Linked DNA regions of Daphnia pulex. The protein of the gene in region 3 binds, or shares a complex with, the protein of the main gene of each other region. Links are inferred from orthologs where the notes say so. Each region holds a gene or a part of one and is shown on either strand. Other genes may lie near its edges.

The links. Proteins that work in one complex are often made in the same cells at the same time.
Region 1: cyclin-C-like (region 3) and mediator of RNA polymerase II transcription subunit 31-A-like share a complex: the UniProt entries of both Caenorhabditis elegans proteins name them as parts of the mediator complex. The link is inferred for Daphnia pulex from reciprocal best matches to the Caenorhabditis elegans genes cic-1 and mdt-31.
Region 2: cyclin-C-like (region 3) and cyclin-dependent kinase 8-like share a complex: the UniProt entries of both Caenorhabditis elegans proteins name them as parts of the mediator complex. The link is inferred for Daphnia pulex from reciprocal best matches to the Caenorhabditis elegans genes cic-1 and cdk-8.
Region 4: cyclin-C-like (region 3) and mediator of RNA polymerase II transcription subunit 21-like share a complex: the UniProt entries of both Caenorhabditis elegans proteins name them as parts of the mediator complex. The link is inferred for Daphnia pulex from reciprocal best matches to the Caenorhabditis elegans genes cic-1 and mdt-21.
Region 5: cyclin-C-like (region 3) and mediator of RNA polymerase II transcription subunit 7-like share a complex: the UniProt entries of both Caenorhabditis elegans proteins name them as parts of the mediator complex. The link is inferred for Daphnia pulex from reciprocal best matches to the Caenorhabditis elegans genes cic-1 and let-49.

What each region holds. Positions count from the first base shown.
Region 1 is NC_060024.1:13,245,235-13,248,008, forward strand, and holds mediator of RNA polymerase II transcription subunit 31-A-like, read right to left. Parts: upstream 1,326-2,774; 5' UTR 1,185-1,325; coding exon 1,172-1,184; intron 1,094-1,171; coding exon 1,013-1,093; intron 956-1,012; coding exon 859-955; intron 800-858; coding exon 589-799; 3' UTR 501-588; downstream 1-500. Other genes in the region: 2-oxo-4-hydroxy-4-carboxy-5-ureidoimidazoline decarboxylase-like, read left to right, coding at 1-88, 161-356. UniProt on the Caenorhabditis elegans protein: Component of the Mediator complex, a coactivator involved in the regulated transcription of nearly all RNA polymerase II-dependent genes.
Region 2 is NC_060023.1:3,950,021-3,953,947, forward strand, and holds cyclin-dependent kinase 8-like, read right to left. Parts: upstream 2,801-3,927; 5' UTR 2,589-2,800; coding exon 2,428-2,588; intron 2,365-2,427; coding exon 2,178-2,364; intron 2,098-2,177; coding exon 1,957-2,097; intron 1,889-1,956; coding exon 1,699-1,888; intron 1,634-1,698; coding exon 1,519-1,633; intron 1,459-1,518; coding exon 1,360-1,458; intron 1,263-1,359; coding exon 1,190-1,262; intron 1,121-1,189; coding exon 1,023-1,120; intron 956-1,022; coding exon 871-955; intron 758-870; coding exon 284-757; 3' UTR 191-283; downstream 1-190. Other genes in the region: uncharacterized protein LOC124198281, read right to left, coding at 3,172-3,927. UniProt on the Caenorhabditis elegans protein: Component of the Mediator complex, a coactivator involved in regulated gene transcription of nearly all RNA polymerase II-dependent genes.
Region 3 is NC_060017.1:5,572,603-5,575,878, forward strand, and holds cyclin-C-like, read right to left. Parts: upstream 2,023-3,276; 5' UTR 1,895-2,022; coding exon 1,863-1,894; intron 1,805-1,862; coding exon 1,698-1,804; intron 1,630-1,697; coding exon 1,423-1,629; intron 1,363-1,422; coding exon 1,239-1,362; intron 1,170-1,238; coding exon 1,045-1,169; intron 971-1,044; coding exon 772-970; intron 668-771; coding exon 595-667; 3' UTR 501-594; downstream 1-500. Other genes in the region: folate receptor alpha-like, read left to right, coding at 16-231, 288-479; adenosine receptor A2b-like, read right to left, coding at 2,894-3,226. UniProt on the Caenorhabditis elegans protein: Component of the Mediator complex, a coactivator involved in regulated gene transcription of nearly all RNA polymerase II-dependent genes.
Region 4 is NC_060027.1:1,946,137-1,948,845, forward strand, and holds mediator of RNA polymerase II transcription subunit 21-like, read right to left. Parts: upstream 1,241-2,709; 5' UTR 1,148-1,240; coding exon 1,106-1,147; intron 1,030-1,105; coding exon 817-1,029; intron 740-816; coding exon 578-739; 3' UTR 501-577; downstream 1-500. Other genes in the region: nudix hydrolase 8-like, read right to left, coding at 1,417-1,596, 1,665-1,891, 1,948-2,158, 2,222-2,313, 2,382-2,550. UniProt on the Caenorhabditis elegans protein: Component of the Mediator complex, a coactivator involved in the regulated transcription of nearly all RNA polymerase II-dependent genes.
Region 5 is NC_060019.1:10,647,665-10,650,396, reverse strand, and holds mediator of RNA polymerase II transcription subunit 7-like, read right to left. Parts: upstream 1,420-2,732; 5' UTR 1,284-1,419; coding exon 1,098-1,283; intron 1,041-1,097; coding exon 570-1,040; 3' UTR 501-569; downstream 1-500. Other genes in the region: tyrosine-protein kinase Btk29A-like, read left to right, coding at 1,784-1,945, 2,035-2,302, 2,416-2,732. UniProt on the Caenorhabditis elegans protein: Component of the Mediator complex, a coactivator involved in the regulated transcription of nearly all RNA polymerase II-dependent genes.

The sequences.
Region 1 (2,774 bases), on a different chromosome or scaffold from region 3:
CACAGGAGAGTACTGCTGAACAGAAAGCTGCTGGTTTAGACACAATGACACCTGGTGAAAAACAACTGCTAGGAGAGACCAACATCAAGTATGACAAATTACTGTTCTATAACTATATAGTAACTAATGAGCTGTGTCTTTTGGGCTATTATTTTAATAGATACAGAGAAAAGTTTGGATTTCCTTTTGTTATCTGTGCCAGGCAGAACAAGAAGGAAGCAATCTTGAAAGGAATAGTTGAGAGATTGGAACACTCAGCTGCTGAAGAACTAAACATTGGGATTGAAGAAGTGAAGAAAATCTGCCTTTTGAGGTTGTTGAGTATAGTAACTGATGACAAATCTCGTAATATGTAGAGATTTTCCACTCGCTCCCATCAGTTGAGGTCAACAGCAGCTATTCCATTCTAAACATTCTCACTCAAAACAAGTCTTCCAAAACATATGTGTTGTTAACATTTTGTCTGGTAGTTTGCAAAAACTCAACACAAAATACAGCAATTTACAAAAATTTGTCTATATTGTCTTGCATATACTTGCCCAATATAAGAGAAGTTTAAAAAGTTCCTTAAACAATAATTATCATGAATCAAACACTTTTCTGGGGTGTTGGCTCATTCTGAACAGTCATCATGTGCTTCTCAGCTTGACTTTGAAGAAGACGAACCCTCTTTCTAGTGTAATGTTGCCAGTGAAGGATTTGTTGATCATCAATGAAGCGAGCACACTGGCCATTCACAACCTCCTTTCTGAAATGCTCATATTGAAGCAAGTCTAGGAAATGCAAACACATTGGGTACCTGGAAAATAATGAAATTGTAATTTCTAGTTAGGGTAAATTGCAAGTGAATTGGTGTACTTCAAATATTTTGCATAAGCAGGCTCCTTCCAATACTGTAAATACTTGATGTAGTTGACAAACGCCGGATCCTTAAAATAGCCACGTTGAGCAAGGACTAGTGTAAACAAGGCATAATGAAAGTGTTGATTTTAAAAATAGACCAAATACTTACAGTGCAGATAATTTGGATTTGCGAAACATTGCACAAATTCTAGTTCCACCTGAAATCGAATCCTTTGTTGTTCATCAGTTTCTACCCATCGGAAAAAGGAATAATAACATAGCAATGAGAATCTGTATTGAAAACGACTACACTTCACGATATATTTACCTCTGGTGCTCATTGCGAAGCAAACAACGAAATAACGTAGTTTGCTTCAACAGTTTTGGAAATCTAGAAACGAGGCAACCGGACAGAATGGAAACGTCAGACAACAACTTGAAATGGAAATTGGAAAGCGTCAACTTTTGCAATTTGTCGTCTGCTTGATCAATTGATGCCATCTAGAAAGAAATCGAGAAAATATTAAAAATTGAATTAACTTAAAAAAATTTTTACAAAATAAAAAAAAAATTAAAACGATTTCAAATTTCATGCCCACAATTTATTAATGTGTGTGGTGGCCTTATCACACAGTTTGATTTCCGAATTTGGATAACATTTTGCGGTTGCGCTGCGCCGTAGGACCCTAATAAACCATGAAGCCGCAGCTGATAGGCTAGACGGCTAGACTATACTAACTTCAGTTTGCACCGTGAGTTATTTTATTTTCCTGTAGGAGGTAAGATCAATAGAAGAATTTAGATGGAATATGGAGTTGAAAAACAAAAATACCAAAATAAAAAAGTCAAATCAGAAAAATTATGAATTCAGCAGGAAAGGCGAACGGAAAAATAAAAAGATGGAATATATTACCGTGTGATTTCCAGTTGTTTCACATATGCGACATTCTACGCCTCCGTTACTATTTTATCGTCCTTTTCCAGAACGGAAATATTTGAAAGTAGGCTAATCAAAAATATTCAACCCAAACGAAATCTGTTGAAATTTTTCTTTGACTTTTGTTCTTATTTTCGCCACTTTTGATCGGATATCCGGTGCGGGGGCGATAGCATTCTACCATGTATAGGTCAGAAATATCATCTTAAAGTGTCATATCTACTCCGTGTATACGTGACATCCGGATAATGCACGCGGCCGTGAGGGCGGTGTATCATGTCTGAGTGCATATTCACGTATTGTACATGTGGTAGGTCTATACTACGTAGCCATCCTCCTGCGCACTCGGCGGATGTATAATGGTTGGTTCTCACCTACGGCCCCGAGTTTTCCGGTAGACCATGCGACAATCAAGAGGATGAACGTATCAATCTTAATTCCCTGGTATTATCTAATAATCGTGCTTGAAATTCCACTCTTCTATGATTATAAGTTCAATCAGCAAAGTGACGTGATTGGAGTAACAAATAGATTCAACGCGGATTTCTGCCGTCGGTCCGGGATAAATGATGGAGTAATATTCCATCATTGATAGCACAGAATTCAGTAGAGCGTAGGTAGCAACAGGTGGCGTGACATGACAAAAATGATCCAGCTGTTGCTGAGGCAGTGTGGGCTTTTATCAATCACCTGCCGCTTATTGCCTGACCCATATCAGCCTTTTTTTTTTTTACCTGAGGAGTTTCAAATTTTCGTGGAAAAGATTCTCATTACATTTCCCCGCCATATTAATAACGCTTTTGCCACTAGGTAGACGAACCGGTGGGCGGTGGCACGTGCGACGGACAATGCCCAAAAACTGACTCCGCCTCGTCTCTATACTTTCGGCAACTGTTGTGATGTTAACCTGCCGTTGAAGGCAATTACAGCAAGCCCCCGATTCCATTTGCGTCACGTCGCCGAGTATATAGCAGTCGACGCAGAGAGGGGGGGG
Region 2 (3,927 bases), on a different chromosome or scaffold from region 3:
TTTTTTGCTCTACCCAAGTACCCATACACAGCCTCCACTTGTTTTCGCTATTTGGCAGTTACTCCCTTCGTCAAACATGATCATAGTTTACAGCAATTTTCCTTTGATTCCTGGAATCAAAACACGATCCATCGTGTATCTTTTATTCTATGTACCTTTTTCATTTCCAGCGGTAATGCATTATTAAACGTTTTAGTATGAAAATGTACGCATTTTATTTTATTTTACGAATTCAAAATGAAGACAAAATACAATAAGTTGCTAGTAATAGATGAAAAGAGCATCAGAATCTTTGATTAAATGAGTTGTTTTGCTGAGGATGCGACTGTTGTTGAGGATGGCCAGGATGATTGGAATAGTTCGGATGCATACCTCCTTGCATGTTGCCTTGTTGTGACGGATGCTGAGGGTGATGGCCATGGCCATGATTAGAATTACCCGATTGTGAAGCATGTTGCTGTTGCTGTTGTTGCTGCTGCTGCTGCTGTTGTTGTTGTTGCTGCTGCTGTTGTTGCTGTTGTTGTTGCTGCTGCTGCTGTTGTTGTTGTTGCTGTGCAGAAGGATGCTGCTGTACATGGGGTTGCTGTCCAACATGTTGACCATGGAAATCTGGTGGGCCTCCTGACATGTTGGATCCACCAACATTGTTTCCAGGATGTGGGGGAGCCAACCGTACTCGTTTTGCATTAGGACCATGAGACTGGTCATTGGGGGCATTCGCTGCAGTATTCTGACCCTGTGGATTCTTAGCAATCATCTGAATTCAAAAGTGTACCCAAATGCCAAATAAAACGCAAATGAAAGAAAACCAAAACAAGGGAGACGAAAAAGACTAGATAAAATAAAATCAAAAGAACAATTTATTATTACCTTGCTGCTATCAGATTTGTCATCTTGCTCTTCGTCACTCAAAAATTCTCGCTTCGGGTACGGAATAGGACAACCAGCAAATACGCTAATGAAACACAAATCTGATCAAAACTGATTCTTATATTACATTATGATTCTTATTTTAAGTTTACTCTGAAGTAGGTAAAGGATCTTCCTGAAAGTAAGGATCAGCCATGGCAGATTCTGAGGTGAATCTTTTAGTAGGATCCATCATTAAAAGTTTGGAAAGCTTGAAGCAAATTAATCAGTCAAAAAAGGAGAGAAAAAAACGCAACTTTTAATTTTAAATATCGATTACCAAATGAAAAGCTTTAGTATCGGCTTTAATTTTATACCGGTCCATATACTTCATCAAGGAACATGTTTGATAGCTAAAAGAAAAAAATAAAAAAAAAATAAACAAAAGATGCATTTTGAACATGGAGTTAATATTAAGAAGTAAACAAACAAATGGAAATAAACACTTACTTGTTACGTTTAAAATCCTTGAGAAGTGTAGGATGTTCAGGCATTTTTTTAATATCTTCCCAGTCCTTGTCATGTGGAAATCCCATTACGTTGAAAATTCTACAAGGAAATGTAATAAATAATTCATTTCTGACACTCACGAAGAGCAAATTTTCATACCGATCGAGTTGATCGTGATGATAGGGATTGGAAGTTTTAATGTCTTCTTGACGACAATGAAAAATTGGTTCTGATGTTAGTAGTTCAGCAAAAATACATCCAATAGCCCAAATATCTAAAATAAATTGTAAAGCAATGATATAGAATTGTGAAACACCACACAAACTACTAATGTTTTACCAATAGCTTTTGTGTAGTGCCTAGCTCCTAAAAGCAGTTCTGGTGCTCGATACCAGAAAGTCACAACTACAGGGTCCAAATCAGCCAAAGGTTTCAGTGGTGAATTAAACAAACGAGCAAAACCCATGTCGGCAATTTTAACTCTTCCCCTTTCAATTCCTTCTCCCATGACTAAGATGTTGGCTGGTTTCTAAGGAAAAGAAAGCAAAAATCTATTTGTTGATGAAAATATTAACAAAAGCAGATAATTCTCAATACCAAATCACGATGAAGGATCCAGTTAGAATGCAAGTAGTGAATCCCATCCAAGATTTGATATAGCAAAGATTTTACCATGGCTTTAGGAGTGTAAACTGCCTTTTTATTTGCTTTGGCTGCTCTGTGGAATTTAATGATGTGCTAAATTTTGGTTTGTGACAAATATAATAAGTTAAAAGATCATGAACCAAAACAACTTTAGAAGGAAGATTTTAACAAACCCATAAGTCATGTTCTGCATAATCAAAAAGAAGCCAAACTTTGCGATCAGTATGGGAAAGAAATACTCGTTGAAGATTGATCACATTAGGATGCTTTAACTCCCTGAGCAAGGCTATTTCACGACAAGCTGACATGGAAAGACCAGTGCCTTCAATTTGCTTTAATGCATATTCCTTTTGGTCAGCACTATAAAATAAAACATAATTATATTGAACTTACACAATTTCTCGTGCTTAGAGAATATCAAACCTAATTAGTTTATTAATATCCGAAGTGGCGAATGTTTCCTTTCTTTTCGCTTTATACACATGACCGTAAGTACCACGACCAATCTTCCTTCCTTCATATTCAAACAGATCTTCTACTTTGGTACGTTCTACGCTCGTTCGAACTTTAAAATCGTAATCCATGCTAGTTATTGCATGAATGCAAATCAATTTGTGTAATGTTGATATTTTTTCTTGTTGACGATTTTTGGTTTGTTATACTGTAATGACGTTTGCCAGATGGAGGAAATGAAGAGCAGACGGAAAAAACTAAAAATTCAAATAAAAGGCAGAGCAATAGATACCTGGTCGGTTCTCGGCCGTGTTGGCTTCCCTATCCCGGTTTCAGGGTAACCGTGGTCCGATTTGGAAAAATTGATGAGCGCCTCTAGTGAGTGTGTCAGGTACTACGTGAAGCCAGCCAATCAGGAAGGGTCTATGAAAAACTCATTGACCAATCACAGCTTACTTTTCTACAAGAAGTGAACAATAATAAAAAGGTAGAAGTATCCAACTGTCAAACCTCTAAGTCATATATAAGTGTCCTATTTTTCTAAGTGTTCTCACATTCTTACATTTTATTGTTTGTTTGTGTAAAAAAAATATGTAATGACATGGTATGTTTAGTTTTCAGTTACTTTGAATTTTATTCTAGTGTAGTTACAAATGGGTATTTATTAAAACGAATCATTTTCTTGCATACAATGTTTCATAAATACAGAGGTACCTACGCAAGTTTTGCTAATTTTTTGTTTTTTTTTACATTTGCTGAAGCTTCAGCTAACAAAAGATTTTTTAGTCTTTTTGATTCAAAATAATATCTAACTCCCACATATTCTCTTATGAGGTAAGGTAACTTTTCATCTCGATGAATGTCACAAAAAATGGGAACCAAATGACAAGTTGAAATTTTCTCCATGCACTCTTGAAATGACTCCTCTTCATACATTTGGCCAATTGGCTCAAAATGACCCTCAATTACCTTTTCTATCACTCTGAATGTTTGGAACATATTTACAGTGACAAAGATCAAAAACCCCTTATTGCGCATTCGAGTATAATGATCTGCAGTGAAGTCTTCTGGCAACTCCAGTTCCTCGCAGCGAAGGGATTTGTAACAGTCAGGACATTTTGACATACTCTTCCTTGTGTGAATCATATAACCACACAAATCATAAATCAAAATATCTTTGACGAAATTAGAATTCGCTGGTTCGTTAATTTTATCAACAAACCGAATTGTTATTTCCTTCAGTAGTTTATCTTCTAATACTGATCTCAGGTCGGAAGCTCGAATGTCACTTTCCTTGGCTTGACGTTTAAGGCATTTTGACATTGTTACTAGGATGTTCATCTGCTCAACATTGTCAACGTTTGCTCCTTGTATAATCGTGGATAATCTTGCTCCAAGAGACACATAGCGAATGATTTGTTGAAAAGAAGTCACCGTGGGATGAGCATCAACACCACGTACAATGCCGAA
Region 3 (3,276 bases):
TTCTTTTTTATCTAGGTAAACATGAAAATGCGCAGAGAAAGATTCTTGGACGTGCCTCTTTGCGCCACTGATTGTGATGATTGGTTCAATGCTTGCAAGGATGATTACACATGTACAGACAATTGGACATTAAACTTCAAATGGATTAATGGGACCAATCACTGCCGACCTGAATCCGAATGTCGCACCTTTTCCGATATCTTTCAAAACTCATCTAATTTTTGTGAAAGGGTAAACAGTATTAACATTCTCCCTAGAATTTTGATTACATTTTTATTTTCTAAAAGGTTTGGGATCATTCATGGAAGTATACCAATAATTCAGAGCCCTGCATGCGTATTTGGTTTGACGGTGATCAAGGCAATCCTAACGAAAATATTGCACGATGGAAAATCCAACAAAGTAACAGCGCGGAAACGTTTTCAACGAAGCCGCTTACATACGTACTCCCCGCCTTGATGTTGTTTCTAAACTACTAGAATAGAGAAATTGCGTTCTCATTTTCATTGTAAAAGAAAGCATGTATTAAATAGTTGATCATAACACAGTTTTTTTTGTGTTTTTCAGTTTATAAAATGAGAATGATAATGATAATCAATTTGTCACACCCATGGACTGGTCATTTGTGCCCTGTATTCCATCCTGTGATTGTGCTGACGAGGGAGGCCTACATAGTTATCACAGTGTATTAAACAATTTTAAAATTTTATTCTTTGCAATGTGATCAAATAAGAAAGAATTGGGATCTAAATAGGAAATTGAATATCCTACCGACTTGGCTGCGTTTTGGGTTTAGGCATTTTGGCCAACAAACCCTGAATTTCTTTTTTCTCGTCGTAGGTCTTGTAGAGATCGTACAGAGCCAGAATTTGACGCGTTATTTCTTGAATTTTATCCGTATCGACGGCAATTTCCGCAAACCAATTTTTCCCGTCTTTCTGAAGCACAACACAAGCCATTTGCATGGCAGCTAATACAGAAGAAAAGAAAGAAATAAATGAAGTAGAGTTCACATGATAAAAGACAAAAATAATTCAAGCTAACCCAATGCAATTTGGTAAGGGGGGTACAGAAGAGATATATCAGTTCTTAGGCTATCATTGACTATTTTCCATGACAATCCAAGAAGATCTTCTTGCCCAATGTCTTGAACAAATTGGACAAGTGGTCTGTGTGGAAATTTCAAATGAAAACATTATTACATTATGCTTTAAATTTTCTCAGAAACAGTTGATCACCTGTAAGGTTGGTAAACAACTAGACAGCAATCCATGTTTTCCAATAAATAAAATTCACACTCAAGGATGTGTTGTGCTCTGTAGGGAAACTCTTGAGGATAGGCATAGTTGAACTTTGACTTGACTGTTTAAGAAGTTGATTGAATCACAATAACAAATTTTGTCTTATGAAAAGATCACATACCAACTGATTGACATGTTGTGATTAATCTGTTGTTCGAAATTACACCAAACTCTTCGACTTTTGAAGCCAACAGAATGCATGTGGGGGCAAGTAGCAGTGGATCAATGCATTTCAAGGAATTCCTGGCATAAAACCGCTTGAAGTAAACTGTGGCAGTCGCTATGACTTGTTGTTTGAGTTTCAAATGCTCACCAAGAACCTGGATGACTAACATGAGAAAGACACTTTTATTATTCAACATTTAGGAGATGATTCCATAGTTAATATAAACTTACAGTTACTAAAGAAGATGAAGAGTTTTTGATAGTCTTCCTCCGTGACGATGGCGAAATCCCCTTGGCGTTCTCGAACCAAATCAGAAGGGTCTAGTAGCCACTGCTGACTAATAATAAAGTGAGTAATTAAATGTGAATCAAAACGTTAGACAAATAAAAACTAACCAATGCGAGCTTTGCCAGAAATTCCCAGCCATACTCTGCGGCCGAGGTTTAACTTGTTTACTGTGTGTAAACGATGCTCGACACTGTTAGGTTAGACGACGTAAGGCGGCGCTTATTAAAATGTCGCCGTGCCCGGATTTTCTAACATGGAAGCCTTTTCGCACCCGAGCACGCCAATAAACGAAAGAAAAGAAAACATCGTGATTTACTGATTTAGTGATTTGTGAACGATCGTATTCGTGATTTTGTTCTGTTTTTTTTAAAGTTTTATTAGCGTTCAACAAAACAAAACATTGCATTCCATTTGGTTTTAATTAATTAATTGTAAACTTATGACTTACTGTATGACTGTTTTTGAGTGATTAGGATGATGACGCAATGAGTTACTTTGGTTCGACGTAAATAAACATGATTTAATATTTTTGAGACTCATTACACAGCGTATTTGTTTACATATTATTGTCGCCTAACGAAACGTTCATAACACAATGTTTGTTACATTTTACAAAGTTACAAACGATCCATGAATAATTGAGTATGTAAATTTGGCTACTAAACACGAAGGAATTTGACCACTTGTCCGTTTTACAACAACGAGAATCATGAGTACATCAGGCCGAAAAGAAATGCGTTGCAAAAAAATAAGAAAATACAAAATGCGGAATGGACCATTGAGTAAGAAAACAGAGATGATACAAAATATGTGTGGGCTATATGACGATATGGACAGTCAGAGAGAGTTTGAATCCCGTGGCATCGGCACGAACGAAAAATACAATCAACATTCAATGGAGCCTATACACAAGACATGAAAATATTTTAATATCATCAACACAACCGATGGGGGGAAAAAATCATGTGACATATCTCCCGCATCAGTCAACAGCAACGATGGACAGGCCAAGAAGCAGAGGCATCCTGCATGAATAAAGAGTGTAGCCCCCGTGAGAATTGACTTGAACGATTCTTGGCATGCGTCCGGCGTAACGTGAAAAAACAAAAACTATTTCAAAACGTGCCGTCGTGAATTTTTACAAGTCCGTGACTTGTTGCTGATCCGGCGGGATCGTTCGTTGTAGGTAGTCGTCGTTGGAGAGGTCGGTGGAGTTGATTTGCCACTCGATAGGTGGCAGCTCCAGCTGATAGATTTTACTGAGTCGCTGTCGATCGTGCGGCTGGATGGATCCAGCTCTCGATCCGATTCCGGTGGCCATTTCCACCGAGCTGAGCGAGCGCTCCATCGCCCACTTGGAGCAGGGGACGTAGCGGAGCAAACGGGCGAAAGCCAGTCGGAAATCGCGGTTCTTCCATCCGTAAATAAATGGATTCAGGGCTGATTTCCCGAAATACAAAATCATGACAACCTGCCGAAAACAAACGGCAACATTGAGGAAAAGAGTTGCGTGTCGGTTAC
Region 4 (2,709 bases), on a different chromosome or scaffold from region 3:
TTCCAACCCCCTTTATTTTTCCCCCTTCTTACCGAACGACCGGAGATCGCCGAAAGGGGTCGGAGAAGATGGCAGCACTATATTTATACACACGGGAGAATTTTTTCTACTTCTTCTTTTTTAAAAAATAAAAAGCTAAACAACATTCTATCGTTTTTTTTTTCTCCTCCTCCCGCTCCCCCCTCCTCTTTTTTTTTGTTGCACGCCATTCCTAAACAAACGGACCGCGTGTTCTTTCTCTTCTTACGAGTGAACAGCAACTTCTCTCCCCCCTTCTTTCCATTTTGGGTTTTCTAAAGGAAGACAAAAAAAGAAGTGGATATATAAAAGGTTGGAATCCTTTTCAAACAGTTTCTTTTACAATCTGTCACCCCATCTTCCTTCCTTCCTGAAATGACTTGCCTCACCTGTGTGTGACAAGAATGTTCACTCAATATGATTTTGAAAAGAACAGATTTAAAATTGATGTTGTGGCGGAAACCAGAAATGAAACGAAATTCTTGCAGAGCAAATTGTTTGTTTCATTTTCTTCTTTTAAATATCAAAAATAGGGAACTAGAGCAAATAATGGTTGGATTTAGGAATTTGGACCTGTGCTCTGCATGGCCAGTTGGGTCTGTGCAATGTCGTGAAGTGCATTCTGAATTTTCTCGAGCATCAGCTCTCCTTCGCTGACAACCTCCCTCAATCGTGCAGCGGCACTTTCATTTTCATTCTCCAGCCTTCTGAGACTTGCAATCTGCAGCGATTGAATTAATTTTAGTCAACTTCGTAGAACATTGCACCGACAGAATACTAATAGAACCAAGTTTATACCTGCAGTTCGGAGGTAGAATCTTCACTGGGTAGTGAATCGATTAGGACGTCAATATCTTTGGCGCAGCGGGCAATCAATGTGGCAAAAAGAGAAGCGTGATCTTCTTGTTGTTGTTGAGGTGTTCGATTGCCTGCTCGATCGAAACCTGGGAATGTAGCCGGTGGGGCGGTTTGTTGCAAAATACCGATGGCATTGCAGAAATTATCAGCTTGCTAGAAACAGAGAATTAAACCACGAATTTGAGACGATACACTTGGCAATTTCGTCAATGCAATCAGTTATAAATACCGCATTTATAGCGTCTTGGAGTTGTGTCAAACGATCAGCCATTGTTGATGGAAATGCAGAGATGAGAAAAGCAGATGTGCCGGCTATTACGCCACCTAGCGATGAATCTGATAACTTCAATGCCAAATTTAAACATTCACAACCTGTATTGTGAAATTAATTCTACATTCTGATGATTACAGGAACTGGGCAGTAATTTACCGATCTGCATATATAATTTGTTAAAACAACAATTCAAGCTAAATATAATGCGTTATCTGATTCCCGTAACAGGCACTAAAACAAAATACTAGAACGTGATCCTGAACACATTACAGTTTAAAATTTTGTTTTCCTTCAACTAAGTAAATTTGGCTATTGCTATTAGTCAATTGATGGATAGATTCCAGGCAGTTGATTGCGGGATTATCGCCATCGGCAATCGCCATTAACTGTGTAGCAAAGATTTTCCCAACTTCGAAGGCAAGCGGATGAGTCGCATATTCTTTCAGCTAAAATATTTAAAATTCAATTACACAGACTAGGAATAATTGAAAATGTTGACATTTAGAAAACTAACCGGCATCCAACAAGCGTCGCTGAGCTCACGAGGACACATTTTGATTTCTGTGCTACCTTCAACAGGTCTGAGATAAGTCACGAAATAAATGTCTGAACAGCCGAACCTTGCACTGGGATTCTTCTCTCTTGATTGCAAATGCCGCACGGCAACGAGTGAAACGAACTCTGTCTTAATACCAGTCTCCTCAAACACCTCCCTCTTGACAGCAGTAGCAATACTTTCCCCTGTAAATTTAATAATTGGTAATGATTGAATGTTAATGATGTCTAAATATACATACCTGGATCTACATAACCACCAGGGAGTTTCCAGTGTGGTCTTTTGTAATACCTTTCCTGAACCACAAGAATCTCATTCTTATCATTGACAACCATGGCTCCAGCGCCTACCATTGTGTGTGCATAACTAGGCACTTGACAAGGTTCGTCAGAAGGCAACCATTTGAGCAACACACTCAACTCTGGGTTTGCGTGATGGAAAGAAAAGCCATTCTAAGAAAATGAATAAGGTAATGCTCGTGCAGTTTTGACTAGCAATAATTCTTCTTTGACTACCTGAATTAGTACTGGAATCCATTCAGCACAGGTTGGTTCCACTTCAAACCAGACTCCACGAACTCCAGTGGTGGACCAGACTTGCAGAGATTCTAAAAACAAACAAAACAACTATTACATAAAACAAATGATGTGTTAATATATAAAAATAAATTTGCACCTTTAAGAAGCTGCTCCATTCGGTTCCTTTCTTGTGGCTCTTCGCTCGAGCGCACAATGATTCCGCCGAAAAGATCCTTGGCACCTTGGAATGTCGACATTTTAACAACAATTGATTTCGTCTTGGCCAGAGCGCTGCTCAATAAATGACGAGCAGCAGTAGCATTCATAACACCCGTTCAATAAATATGTCATCACGGCCTATCTCTTCATCTATACACAGAGTCCTTTTTATTCTAGAGGCAGGAGATATCGTCCAACGACATCGTATAATATTTATGTTGACATCGTCTGCACTTTTATGTCCCGTGAATCCGAGTTGCCACACA
Region 5 (2,732 bases), on a different chromosome or scaffold from region 3:
AAAATTGTTCCATTAGGATATTGTTATAGACGGGAACTGGGCTGACTTTTCTTTCAGTCATTTTAAAATTTACTCTACTAACGAAAGATGATCACGTGTAAAAACTTGCTTTGGCTATAACAATTGAATGTTACCTGCAAGGCGAAATGATAAAACTAATAACTATCGATAGACCGGTTCAATATACAGTTAAATTAACAGCAATGCACTTACCAAAAGCAGAGAATTAACTTCAACGGTATTGTTGTTTCGAATCAACTTTCAAGAGGAAAAATTTGAAGGAAAAATATGTTACAGCGACTGCAGACGGACTAAAACGAATAAACAACGTTGCAATTTGATCTAGATGTTTAATTTAGGTGGATCATCAACATTTATCAACTAAAATACAAATAGAAAAATCTATTGCAATAATTATTTTAAAATAAAAATTCTTAAAAAAAAATAAATCACCGAGATTATGTTTGTCCCAAAACGATTAAAAATAAAACAGCAGACTATTTTACATCAGAAAGGCGAGTAGATCGAATGTATTTTCCACTTTGAATAAACATAAAATAACACAGAATTCACAAAGAATCAATCATTTGACACAGAACACGATCCTCCTCAGTACACCCATTCCCAGAAGTTTGGTTGCTTGCATTGCCTTCTGAAGGTTGAACCCGTTCAACATCTATAAGGAGCTTGATGTTGCCTTCAGTTGGTTCAGGAATTGTGTTGACAGCCTGCTGAACCAATTCCCAAGCTTTGTCAAAATGTCTTCTGAAACGCTCTGCAATTTCCAATCTTTGTCGTTTTTGTTGTTCTAGCATAACTCTAAGAGTTTCCCTTGCTTGATGAGGCCGAAATTCATTGACCAGATGATGCATGTGAATGAAAAGCAAAGTGAGGTCATCAATTTTTGTGGCTCTTGCTTCAGACTCTGGATTTCGTATGCAGATATCAACCAAGTCAAGGAAACTAGCAGTGATGGAGTGATTGAGCTTTTTCAGTTCTCTTCTGTGGTCATAGTTATTAGGGTACAGACGTCGTATATTCTGGAATAGTAAAACGAGTATTAAAGAAAGCTTTGATTAAGAAAAAACTTCTATCACCTGGCTTTCAAGAGGTCGGATCACAGCATCATCAGTATTATATGGATTACCAAACATGGAATAATTGTCTGTGATCGGAGGAGGTGGTCTCGGTGTTCTTCCTCTTTTAGCGTTTTCTTCATTAAAAAGACTGACATATTGCATCGGTGGCAAAGGTAATGAACTAACTTGAGCCGTTTCTGACATTTTTACTTTCCCACTGGAATGAAGCAATATAGTAATGTAAACAATATAGTTTGTTTTCAAGAATGAAGAATGTGACGTTTTCTAGTTCGTTTGCTTGGGGATTTCAGCAGACTATTTTTTGATCAATGTTCTCCTTTTTGTGGCTGTCCCGACACGCCATTCTTGAATGGAAACAAATTTGATTTAGAATGTTGTAAAAGAATTCAATTTTACATTAAATTGTCATTAAATCAATTAATCGTTGTTTATTTTTTTATTTTAAATGTATATTTCCTCGATTTTATCGCTAATTTTCGGAGGAAATTAAATCCGATAATAGTTGTCGGCAACTGCCGCTAGATCTGTCCGAGTTGCCAGTATTTAGAGAGGTTTGGAGAGCTTTTTCTTCGTCCTGCTTTCATTCTCTTCGTACCAGGGTCCAGGGAGAAAGACAATGAACGAAGTTATAACAGCTTTATCAAGTGGGGACTACTTTTTTGATTAGTGATCGTTTTGTAAGTATGTTTAAAAGCTCTGCCAAACCTCTTGCAGGTGAGGTAAAAAAGCAAGGCAATTTAGTGAAACGATCACAGAACAAGAAGAGGTTTAGTTTGATCAACTACAAGAGTCGATGGTTCGTCCTTACCACAAAGTTCCTCGCCTACTACGAGGGCGAATGCGAGGTAAGGTTTAGTTCTACTAAACACGCATGGACTGTGTTCGTGAATCCCTTCATCACTAATTCATCACAACCATCAATTCCAAACAACAGAATCGCAAAGGAAAAGAAAAGGGACGTGTCGACCTCCAAACAGTGAAAGTTGTGGAAGCTGTTGATCCAGCACCTGACACACCTGCCATCGGTCCATTGGCAAACCTTACAGGTTCCATTCCGAGTGATTTGAAGGGATCTCCTGCTTTTCAGATAGTGTACAATCCTTATGAGTGTAATGAAGGTTGTAGTGCAACAGACTTGACTCTTTGCATTTTCACTCCCACTCAGCAAGAAAGAGATATCTGGCTTTGGAATATCCGAGTTGGTGAGAACATTCTCTTTTGACGTCTCAAGTAGTTATGTGTGACAAATAGCAGTATTTATCTCACATGTTCATTTTATCTCATCTAATAATTTATTTTATTTTTCTCCTGATAGTGGTCAAAGACAGTGCTCCTCTTGTGAATGTGTATCACCCTGCCCTGTGGGGGAATAGAAGTTATCTTTGCTGTGGATCAACCCAAAGGTCCACGTCTAAGGCAATAAACGGTTGCCGTTCTGTAACTTGGGCTCCCAATACACTTCAACACATGGGCATCAATTTCAGTAACATCATCCACCATCCGTCTCCCTCACCAAGTCCTGTCGCTAAACCTGCGAATGGGGCTGAAGTCGAGGCGGCCATGGTCAAACCAACGGCGATTAAACCCACGACGGAAATTCATCCGGCAATCGTCGGGGATGTTGTTCCTGCA